Arabidopsis thaliana: one gene and its partner. The protein of the gene in region 1 interacts with the protein of each later gene in a pairwise test. Each region holds a gene or a part of one and is shown in the gene's direction. Other genes may lie near its edges.

The links. The genes of interacting proteins can lie anywhere in the genome.
Region 2: the proteins of PDE345 (region 1) and ATARCA interact in a two-hybrid assay, tested with the Arabidopsis thaliana proteins (2 studies listed by BioGRID, with this or other methods).

The regions. Positions count from the first base shown.
Region 1 is NC_003071.7:93,351-99,406, reverse strand, and holds PDE345 (Aldolase superfamily protein), read left to right. Parts: upstream 1-2,543; 5' UTR 2,544-2,915; coding exon 2,916-3,071; intron 3,072-3,183; coding exon 3,184-3,453; intron 3,454-3,548; coding exon 3,549-3,658; intron 3,659-3,761; coding exon 3,762-4,401; 3' UTR 4,402-4,680; downstream 4,681-6,056. Other genes in the region: AT2G01130 (DEA(D/H)-box RNA helicase family protein), read left to right, coding at 4,772-4,912, 5,060-5,220, 5,292-5,379, 5,474-5,698, 5,783-5,878, 6,018-6,056. UniProt on the Arabidopsis thaliana protein: Plays a key role in glycolysis and gluconeogenesis.
Region 2 is NC_003070.9:6,219,686-6,224,742, forward strand, and holds ATARCA (Transducin/WD40 repeat-like superfamily protein), read left to right. Parts: upstream 1-2,515; 5' UTR 2,516-2,639; coding exon 2,640-3,521; intron 3,522-4,114; coding exon 4,115-4,216; 3' UTR 4,217-4,557; downstream 4,558-5,057. Other genes in the region: AT1G18090 (5'-3' exonuclease family protein), read left to right, coding at 4,854-4,931. UniProt on the Arabidopsis thaliana protein: Major component of the RACK1 regulatory proteins that play a role in multiple signal transduction pathways. Involved in multiple hormone responses and developmental processes.

The DNA.
Region 1 (6,056 bases):
ATCTAATATAAACATAAATTCATTATGTATCATGTATGTATGATCTTAGTTCTATATTGACGCAAGAAAATTCAAGTATTTGTTCACTTCGTGCTACCTATGAATGTACATAAATTTTTTTTAAAAAAATATTTGTTACTAACGATCATATAAGATAGTATTAAGTTATTCAGAAAACATAATTAAAATAGAAATTGAAGGTGTAGGTGTGTGGTTTAGTCATCGATATAGCCAACCAGTGACAACCACCTCGACTCTCTTTGACCTAATTATTTGACCACTCCTTCCACTTTACATCATAAAATCTGAAACCACTTACCATCTCTCGTCACATAGCTAGCAGACGATCGTCTTCATTATGTGGTTGTGACTCTCATTCTAATGTAATCCTGGTAAAAATAGCATGCGAGTGTCTTATCGATCCTCGTTGTTTATATGATTAAATCATTTATTATAAAATAAACAAAACACAACTAATATTTTTTGCATTAAAAATTTAAAATATTTTAGGAGGAGTGATTGTTTCGACGAAAATATATTTTATATAGTATGAACATGAATGAGTAAAAGGTAACTCATTTTGGTGTGTGTGTCAAATTTTGATTTTAAGTTTTTTTTGTTTGTTTGTTAAGTGTATCAACGAATCTCTAGTTCTAGCTTTGATACCAACTGAAGTAGCGGAAGTTTTAATGGATAGAACTAGACATCCGTTGATTCCTCGGAATACCAGAAAACTAGAATTTTTTGGATCTGTTGATTCCTCAGAATAACAGAAACGAGAGAACGTAAGGAATTCGTTGATTCTCTTCGAATACCGAATCCTACATCTTTTTATAACCGTTGAAATCTTTCAAGATCTACCGAAAGCAAGGAATTAGAGAATACTCTTCTCTGAAAAGGTAAAAGCTTAATTTTATTAATCAATTAACTGAATACAATTTTAAGTTCAAAAGTCTTAATTATAATAAATCCAAAATTTTAGAAAATTCATAAAACAATAAATAAAAATTATCTAAATAATTAAATAAAAATATGAGGAAATAATAAAGACAATTTGAAATTATCCAAATATATACTGCATTAGGTAGCATGCGGCTTGCAAGACTATAGTATTTGTTTTAGAAACTATAGGTCTATTAGCTAGACAGAATTAAGAGCTATAGAAAAGTTGTTAAAATTGATAATGCGATGCTTTTTCACATAACTCAAGAAAACCAAATCAAGTTCCGATCCATCATTGTTTGTCGACCAAGGGATGATCAGTCGATAGGTCCACGTACGTTGTTGTTTAAATGAAAATAGTTAACATGGATGTAAATTTAATAAGTAAACAATGAAAATGACAAATGAAGTAGAGAAGATGGAGAAAACAGGACCAAGGGCTTGTAAAAGAATTGCCAAATAAACAACAACGTGGTCCTATCACCTTCTGCTTCTCCCTACGCACCAACCAGTCAACCATACTCAATAGGTTTCATTACAAGACAAATAACACACTCTCTTTTGTCTTTTCTCTTTTTTCGAATGGGAAACACTGACTAGCTTTGTTTGTATATTTAAATCGTTTCTAACAGAGAGAGCGTGGCGAAGTGTGAACACAAACACCTAGAAAGATCTGAGAGTCAATTCTTCTGGGTGACATATGCATGTGAACTGTATGAAGACGCGTTTTGGGGTTTATCGTTTAAAAATCATTAGATATGTGACTGACCAAAGTGTTAATCAAAGATCTGCACCAACACCTTTTACATATACTATATTCTAATACGTAGAGGCAGCGTAGAACACTCTAGAAGAAGTACTAGGTGAATTATGATCGATATGCCATTCATCTGAGAGCAGAGAATGGAACTTTACGCATGTTTAATTAAAACAACTTTCAAACTTGTCTTAAAATATGAAAATTACTAGTTCCTACTCTGATTAAGATAAGATTGGCATTATATTCATATTCTTGTACCTAATATATAATTGAAGCACTTGAACATATTTAGTCATATAGTCTTGAATTTTGTTGTTGTTTTTCCCTTTTTTTGTGGGGTCAAACTGAGTTGCTGTAAATTTGAACATACATATGAATATGCATTTAAATTGTGGCCAACAGTTTTAGAAAACTGTTATCAAATCAAAGATACTTTAAAAATACAAAAAAGTAGTGTAAGATACAAGAAAGAAAAAGTTGCCACTTTCTCATGTCGCATATATATAACGTTTCTCGGAACTTGCATTTTCTCTCTTCTTGTTTACACCTTCCTCGCCTGTTACGAGTAACACCAATATTTGGACTTATTGGATGGTTGCCTTAATAAAAAGGAAAAAAAAAAAGAAAAAGACCCAAGAACACCAAAGCTGTCGTGGGCTCTTATTGTTTATCTGAAACTAAGCCCTATTACTATTGGGCCCAAAAATCAATTACGTAAAAGAGTTTGCCTGTTATATAAGTTGTTTACTATTGTGGCCCAACAGATAAAAAAGGGAATATCCGGCCCATTCTCTTTCATCACACTCCTTGAAGAGGTGATAGGTCATGTAATTTGATTAATTAAGAAAAACGATTGAGTTAGACGAAGAGGCAATGGTAGGAGAAGGATAGTTTGGGTAGACGAAACGGTAGAGTTTTGGTTATTCTCAGATTCTTGTTGTTGAGAGACTGATGAACTACTAGAAAAAATTACCAGTATCTCCCTCAAGGTTAAAAGCGTCATTTACGGTAAATTGGGGAATAAAATGGTAAAGAGAAGGAGGCTTTTTGGTGGTGGGAGTAGGTGATGCCAAAGTAGACGACTACTAATAGTAGTAAACAAAACCTTTGGCTTTAACACTCTCCTCCAAATCCCAGATCTCTCTCTGTCTCTGTCCCGCGGAGTCCCCGAGAGATTGATCACCATCACTTTTGTACCTTCCTTGTACTACCTATGGCGTCTGCTAGCTTCGTTAAGCCTAACACCCTCTCTTCTCCATGGATCGGCCAACGCTCCTTTGCTCACACCTCTGCTTCTTCTTCTCCTCCTCCTCGAGTCTCCTTCGCGATCCGCGCCGGTGCTTACTCCGACGAGCTTGTTAAAACCGCCGTGAGTATCCTCCTTATCCTCTCTCTCTCTTTGATGCTTTATTAGTTTGGATTCGTTTCCGTAATTCTCAAAGTCAAACGTAGAGTGAGATTCTCTGATTATTGCGTAATAGAAAAGCATTGCATCCCCTGGGAGAGGTATCTTGGCGATCGATGAGTCCAATGCAACCTGTGGGAAGAGGCTTGCTTCTATCGGCTTGGATAACACCGAGGACAACCGTCAGGCCTACAGGCAACTTCTGCTTACCACTCCTGGCCTCGGCGATTACATCTCTGGTTCCATTCTCTTCGAGGAGACTCTTTACCAGTCCACCAAGGACGGTAAGACCTTTGTCGATTGCTTGCGCGATGCCAACATCGTCCCTGGCATCAAAGTTGACAAGGTATTTTTTATCCATTTATTCTGTCATCATCATCATAAGTAGTTGAGTTTTTATGTGTGTTGAGTGAAGTGTTGACAATGCAATCCACCGCGTAGGGCTTGTCTCCCCTAGCCGGTTCCAACGAAGAGTCTTGGTGCCAAGGCTTGGATGGATTGGCCTCACGCTCTGCTGAGTACTACAAGCAAGGCGCTCGTTTTGCCAAGTGGTATGTCATATATTTCACCATGTTATCTTACATATGGTATTAACTCTTTGGTTTGATGTGAAAATGCTCTTCCTAGTTTTGATGTTTGTGTGTGTTTGTCTAGGAGGACAGTGGTGAGTGTTCCCTGCGGTCCTTCAGCACTGGCTGTGAAGGAAGCTGCGTGGGGGCTGGCTCGCTATGCAGCCATCTCTCAGGATAATGGTCTTGTCCCCATTGTGGAGCCAGAGATCCTTCTGGACGGGGACCACCCAATAGAGAGGACTCTGGAGGTGGCAGAGAAAGTGTGGTCAGAGGTGTTCTTCTACTTGGCACAGAACAACGTCATGTTTGAGGGCATTCTGTTGAAGCCGAGCATGGTCACCCCAGGCGCTGAGCACAAGAACAAGGCCTCTCCCGAGACCGTTGCAGATTTCACGCTCACCATGCTGAAAAGGAGGGTTCCTCCGGCTGTCCCAGGGATCATGTTTCTGTCAGGAGGACAATCAGAGGCAGAGGCCACACTGAACCTGAACGCCATGAACCAGAGCCCAAACCCATGGCATGTGTCCTTCTCATACGCACGTGCCCTGCAGAACTCCGTGCTCAGAACATGGCAAGGCAAGCCGGAGAAGATTGAGGCCTCGCAGAAGGCACTGTTGGTGAGGGCAAAGGCCAACTCACTGGCCCAGCTCGGCAAATACTCAGCCGAGGGAGAGAACGAGGATGCCAAGAAAGGAATGTTTGTCAAGGGTTACACCTACTGATTTGTTAATTTCAGAGATCGTAATAAGGATTAAGGACCATTGTTGTCTTTTGTTTTTTTTTCCCTTTTTTGTTTTGTCTCTGAGAAAGAAAGACAGTCACGAGTCACGATCATATCATATATGTATGTGAGCAACGTGAAAACATCCTCTTAAATCTATATTTCCTCTCAGAAAGACTGATTACTGTTTGACTGCAAAACCAAATTGTGTAATTCTTCTTTTAAGTTTACAAAATTTTTGGAGGGCGATTAGGTAAAATTGGCATAGTTGCAAGTTCAGTGTTAGAAGAAGCAGCGGAGATCTCTCTCCCTCTTTATAGTTTACTTTTGACTTACAGTAGAGAGAGTTTAGAGTTTTGAATTTGGCTCCGATGACGAATCGTCTTCCTCCTTCGCTGTACGTTCCGCCTCACCAGCGCCTTGGTTCCGATTACGGCTTCAATCCTGTTCCTCTCTCTCCAGTTCGCTATGTCTCCGCTTATGATGACCGCGTTTCCGAGGATCGCCAACCGGTTAACTTCTTCTTCATCTTTTTTTCATGCATCTCTGAGCTTTTTGATTGATGCTCTTACAATGGCGATTCTAGTTTTCGATTTGCTCTCGAGTAGCATTTTATAAAAATCCCTTTATCTTTCTACTGGAACCATATCAATTTGCAGCAGGAGGGTACCTTTCACTGTGCCGACTTGGATGATTGGAATAAGAGATTTTCAATGCTTTTGAAAGATTCTTTAAAGCAAGAAGTTATTTCCAGGGAGAAAAAAGATAGACGGGATTTTGATAAACTTGCTGCTCTGGCTACAACCCTGGGATTGTATAGGTACATCAATCATGCTGCTCCTTTCTTTCTTCTTTCTCACTAGTACAACCATTTCTGTTTCTTTTTTGCAGTCATGCATATGCTAAGGTTGTTGTCTTCAGTAAGATCCCACTCCCCAACTATAGGTTTGATTTAGATGACAAGAAGCCACAGAGGGAGGTATTATCCGCTGCTCCTCACTCTCTTCTCTTACACTTAACGCAAGACGGCTTGTTTTTCTTTAAAGAGCAGATATATACAAAAATATTTACAGGTGAATTTGCATACTGACCTTCTTCAAAGAGTTGAAGCTTACCTCACAGAATACCTCAGTAAAAGCTCTAATAGGATAGATAGAGTCCCTGCCAATTCCGTCTCAAGAACTAGTAGCATTAGCAGTACTGATGAATGGTTTTCTGAGCAACCACTACCCATCTCTGCCACCAAAATTCTTTGGCAAAGGAGTTTGCAGCTGCGTGATCGACAACAATATTGGCAGGTTCTGTTTATATTAGGTCCTTAATATATTCTTCATCTATGCTTTTTCATCGTCCATTTAGTTTTGATGTGTTCCATTGATTAGGCATCCGTAGAAGGCCAAAGAATGTTGGATTCTCGTACAAGTCTCCCTGCTTTCAAGCAAAGGCATTCAGTATTGACAGCTATTTCACAAAATCAGGTCTGCACAGAAGATAACTGGAAGCATGCTTGAGCTCAGTCGTGTGACATCTGTGTCAAATAGAAAATCGAATATCAACTTGACGGTCGTCTTGGTTTTGTATTAGTTCCGATTACCCACATAAATTTTCGTATTGCAGGTTATTGTTATCTCTGGAGAAACAGGTTGCGGCAAGACC
Region 2 (5,057 bases), on another chromosome or scaffold:
TTCCATATGAATAAATGTTACTTTAATAGCAAAAATCGTTATCAGACTCGTCTATTCATTAGTTGCGTGTCCACTCTCTTATTATATTCTTATTCAATTGAATTTTTCCAATCTAAAGTAGGTTAGAAAAAGATTGGCAAGATTTGTTTCATGATTAACAATTTAAATAAATAAATTAATTAAATTAACAGACTAAAAAGAGTGAATTAGAAAAATAACTAGAAAAAAGTAAGTTCTTGAGTAGTAATGAAAGTGACAATTGCTAGTAAATAAGTGGTTTATGAAATCATATATATGAAGTGACAATTGCTGTAAATATGTGATTTAATAGCTTTTCATTAAATATCACAACAAAAAATCTGTGAAATGAATCAATAGCTATTAAATCACAAAAGTAAAAAAATCTGTGAAATGAATCAATAATCCTAACTATTAATGGGTTTAAGAAAAGTCCTCGAAATGAATACCATCTTTGACTCCCTCTTTCTTTCTCATTAGGGCTACAGATTTTTGTCTTTAAAAAGCCATTCAAGTTTCAATGGTTTTTCACTTTTGTTCTCCTCCTCCCTTTTTTTCTTTTCAGGATTCTTCTTTTCTATGTTTTATCTTTCATAATAGATCTGATAATTTTGATTTTTCACTATATATATTATGGTTAATACTAGTAGCTTTTTCATTTCAAGTTTTATCCTTCCATTGGTTCTTTCTGAGTCAAATTGTCTCCTGTTTCGAACCATATATAAGTTTTCAATGGTTTTGTATTAACTCAAGTATTCAACATTATGTCTCTCTTTTTCTTGCTTGGATCTCTAATGCTGTTCATATTTTAAAGCATAGGTTTAGGTTAGATGCATGTAACTGCCAATTAAAAGAAGGTCAAGAGTTTTTTGATTGTATGAATATATGAGTTAGTCAAAGCAGATCCACACGATTATATAGAAAAACAAAGGAAGAAGAAGAGGAAGAGCTCCTTGAAGTTCAATGGAGGGTTTAGCAGGGTGAAGTAAAGCTGCTAAGCTATGGATCCCATAAGCCTTATCAAATTCAATATAATTGATGATAAGGTTTTTTTTATGGATGCCATATCTCAGGAGCTTTCACTTACCCCTTTAATGGCTTCACTCTTCTTTGGATTGAAGGGAGCTCTTCATCTCTCCATCCCTATCTCTCTCTCTCTCTATCTTTAGTTCTTTTAAGAATGACTTTTCATTTTTTGTGTTGTCTGTTGCAGGTGTATAAACATGGATGATGGATCTTGAGTAGGATTTTTTATTTTATTTTCTTGTGACATATATGCAATTTTTATGGTTTGTACTTTGTATTTCCATTAGTTTCGTACTTTTCAGTTATGTATCATTGTTAATTCTAATGTTTGAAGACATTTAGAGTTTATACTTCTCTAAATTACTTTTTCGACTCAATAAAGTCGTTTAAGTGTCTACAAGTATATACCGTGTTAATACTTTTCAATTCATATCCACCATTGTATAAAGATATGATCCGCTTTTATTTAAGTGAATCAATTAATTTACAGTATTCCTCTATATCTCTCTCACACTGTTCGAATAAATTTAATACTCAACAGATCTAGTTTGAACTTTTTAAATAAGTTTAGCCGAAGAAAATTATCATTGTTGAACAAACTTATTAAATTCGGATTGGCTTATTTGATGCATCCAGATTGCAAAACTATATTTTTGAATACAGCTGGAAATGTTTTTAAAGTGTAAAACAACGGTATATATATAAGTCAAACTGGTTTTTTTTGTAGATTTCTCTCCCTTTAGCAAGTTTTATTGCTTTCCTATAATCCATAATATTTACATCCAAAACAGCAATTATATAAGATTTTCTGCTATTTCAATACGATGTTATACTATTTCGGCAGATGTACGTACTACATTACATCTAACCAATCCAGATTGATAACTATATTTGATGTAATCTCGAATTAGTCAATCTCTGTACCACATATAAGAAATTTTGCTTTTTTCACAAAAGAGTTGTTAGAAATTTGACCTATACAAAAATAATGACCACGATAAATGAGTATATACATGTACGTAAGATAAATGTAAAGTTGTATATTTGTGCGCCATTCATGATTCATTCCACGTATATATTGTTTGTTCGAATCAAAGCAAACTCAGAAAATGAAAACGCTGAATGACGATAAAAATAGGGACGCTTTTGTTCGAATTAGCGTGCCCATTATGTCACGAACGTAGATTCAAGTCTTGGCCATAAAACAGGATTCCTTATAGCATCCACCAAAACACGAGAAATCATTCTCAAAAACAGTCTCTCCAAATCCGAACTAAACAACTCATAGCCCATATAATAAGGTCTGTAGTGGGATGCGTTTTTGGCTTTTAGAACATACCAATTGGAGAACACGCTTTCTTACACATGGAAACAAATTACGAACGCTTCCACCAAATATGGGCTGAGATAAGCCCATTAACATAAGACCCAGTAATAAATATATAATATGAGCCCATATTAAATGAACCCTAATCCATTTTTAGTTTCTATCATATAAATAGCTTCTTGTGTTTTTCACGCCCTTCTTCTTTGTATTTCCGCCTCCCCCGAGAAAACGAAAACCCTAGTTTCAGAGGCATCTCCAGACACCGAAAATGGCGGAAGGACTCGTTTTGAAGGGCACCATGCGTGCACACACTGACATGGTGACGGCAATCGCCACCCCAATCGATAACGCAGACATCATCGTCTCAGCTTCCCGCGACAAATCCATCATTTTGTGGAAACTCACCAAGGACGACAAAGCCTACGGTGTAGCTCAGAGGCGTCTCACTGGTCACTCTCACTTCGTTGAGGATGTTGTTCTCTCCTCCGATGGACAATTCGCGCTTTCCGGCAGCTGGGACGGCGAGCTCCGTCTTTGGGATCTTGCTGCTGGTGTCTCCACTCGTAGATTCGTTGGACACACCAAGGACGTGCTCTCCGTCGCCTTCTCACTCGACAACCGTCAGATCGTCTCTGCATCTCGTGACCGTACGATCAAGCTGTGGAACACTCTTGGTGAGTGCAAGTACACCATTTCAGAAGGTGGTGAGGGACACCGTGATTGGGTTAGCTGCGTCAGATTCAGCCCTAACACGCTTCAGCCGACGATTGTATCTGCTTCGTGGGACAAGACCGTGAAAGTGTGGAACCTTTCGAACTGCAAGCTCAGATCGACTCTTGCTGGTCACACCGGTTACGTGAGCACTGTGGCTGTATCACCTGATGGTTCTCTTTGTGCAAGTGGAGGCAAAGACGGTGTTGTTTTGCTGTGGGATTTGGCTGAGGGGAAGAAGCTTTACTCTCTTGAAGCTAACTCTGTGATCCATGCTCTTTGCTTCAGTCCCAACAGGTACTGGCTCTGTGCTGCAACTGAACATGGTATTAAGATTTGGGACCTTGAGAGCAAGAGCATTGTTGAGGATTTGAAGGTTGATCTCAAGGCTGAGGCTGAAAAGGCTGACAACAGTGGTCCTGCTGCCACCAAGAGGAAGGTACACAAATATTTTCCCATGATGGTTCAATCATATGCTTTTAATCGATTACAAGTTTTCAGCTTTTGTATAGGAAGAATTTTCTGTAGTTGGTTATGATGTTGATTATGACTTGTGATTAAGTATTACCCATAGCTGAGTATATCATAATTCGTAATGTTGGTCTGTTATTGAAAATGTGAAAGTTCGTAAAAAGTTTCTTACATGGATTATTCTATTCAAATGCTACACGATGATATATGTAAATGGTCTTCTACACTTGGTTTCAGTTTCAGATTCTGCAATTATGTTTGCTTGAATTACCATTCCGTTTGGAGACTTAGGCTCTCTATCTTCTTTATCTGTTTTAATCTTCCATATATAGCAATTACCATAATTGTGTTTTCGCCCCAGTTTGAGCCTAAATTGTCAATTAAGGTTGTCTTTTAATGGTTTTGTGTGTCCATACTCATTGATTACCTGACATTTCTTGTTAGGATCATAGTAGTAGTAATATTTTTCTCCTGATACATAGCCCTTTGTTTGTTGTGTAATAGTACATGTAAATAACCATGGAAAGTGACTGAATTCAATTTGTTTGTTGATTGGGTCAGGTTATTTACTGCACAAGCCTTAACTGGAGCGCTGATGGAAGCACCCTCTTCAGTGGTTACACCGATGGAGTCATTAGAGTTTGGGGTATTGGTCGTTACTAGTAATCTCATCACTTGTGCTGTCGTTGCTCTCTGCTATCTGCTTGTTGGTTTTATCTATCACTTATGTTTTTATCGACAACTCATGAAGTACCTTGAGGTTTTTGGAAGGATGTTTGTTTTCTTGTCAATCTAGGTTTTTGCTTCTTTATCTTATCGTTCGAGATCTTGGTTTTTAGAGTTACTTCTCCCATTTTGTGGCAAATGATTCCCATTAATAATATAGCGAAATGGTGGAATAGCGGAATTCTCTAAAATTTGTAACTTTATCCAATATGACAGATGAACCAAATGATTTTTAACATGTAATAAACTACTGATTTGCAACGAACTAAGAAGGTTATAGACATGAACATACTATCTTTGGAAATGGACATGAACTGCCGCTATTACTGCTGCTTCCTTCGACCAACGAAATTTCGCCACATAGACTGGTAAAGTCGAACAGCCGCTATTACTGCTGATGTGGCATCTGTCGTATTTTAATCACTCCCGCCATTGCCTTTTCGCGCTAAGTTTTTTTTTTTACTTATGCTTTTTTACTCTAGACTGGAAAAACAAAACAAAAAAGGCTATAAAAAGAAAAATAAAGAAGACAAATTCGCAAGAACCCTAAAAAGAAGAAGATAAGAAATCGGAAATGGGCATCAAGGACCTTCTCAGATTCATGAAACCTTATATCCTTCCCATTCACATCCAGAAATACGCCGGGAAACGAGTAATTTTCTCCGACTTGTTTTCTTAATGTTCTCCATTTCCTTCTCGATTTTAGTTTCCGTTAATCGTTCTGGGTAAATCTCCATTAAAAATCAAGTTTTTAAATGATGGGCTTACACATTTTTGT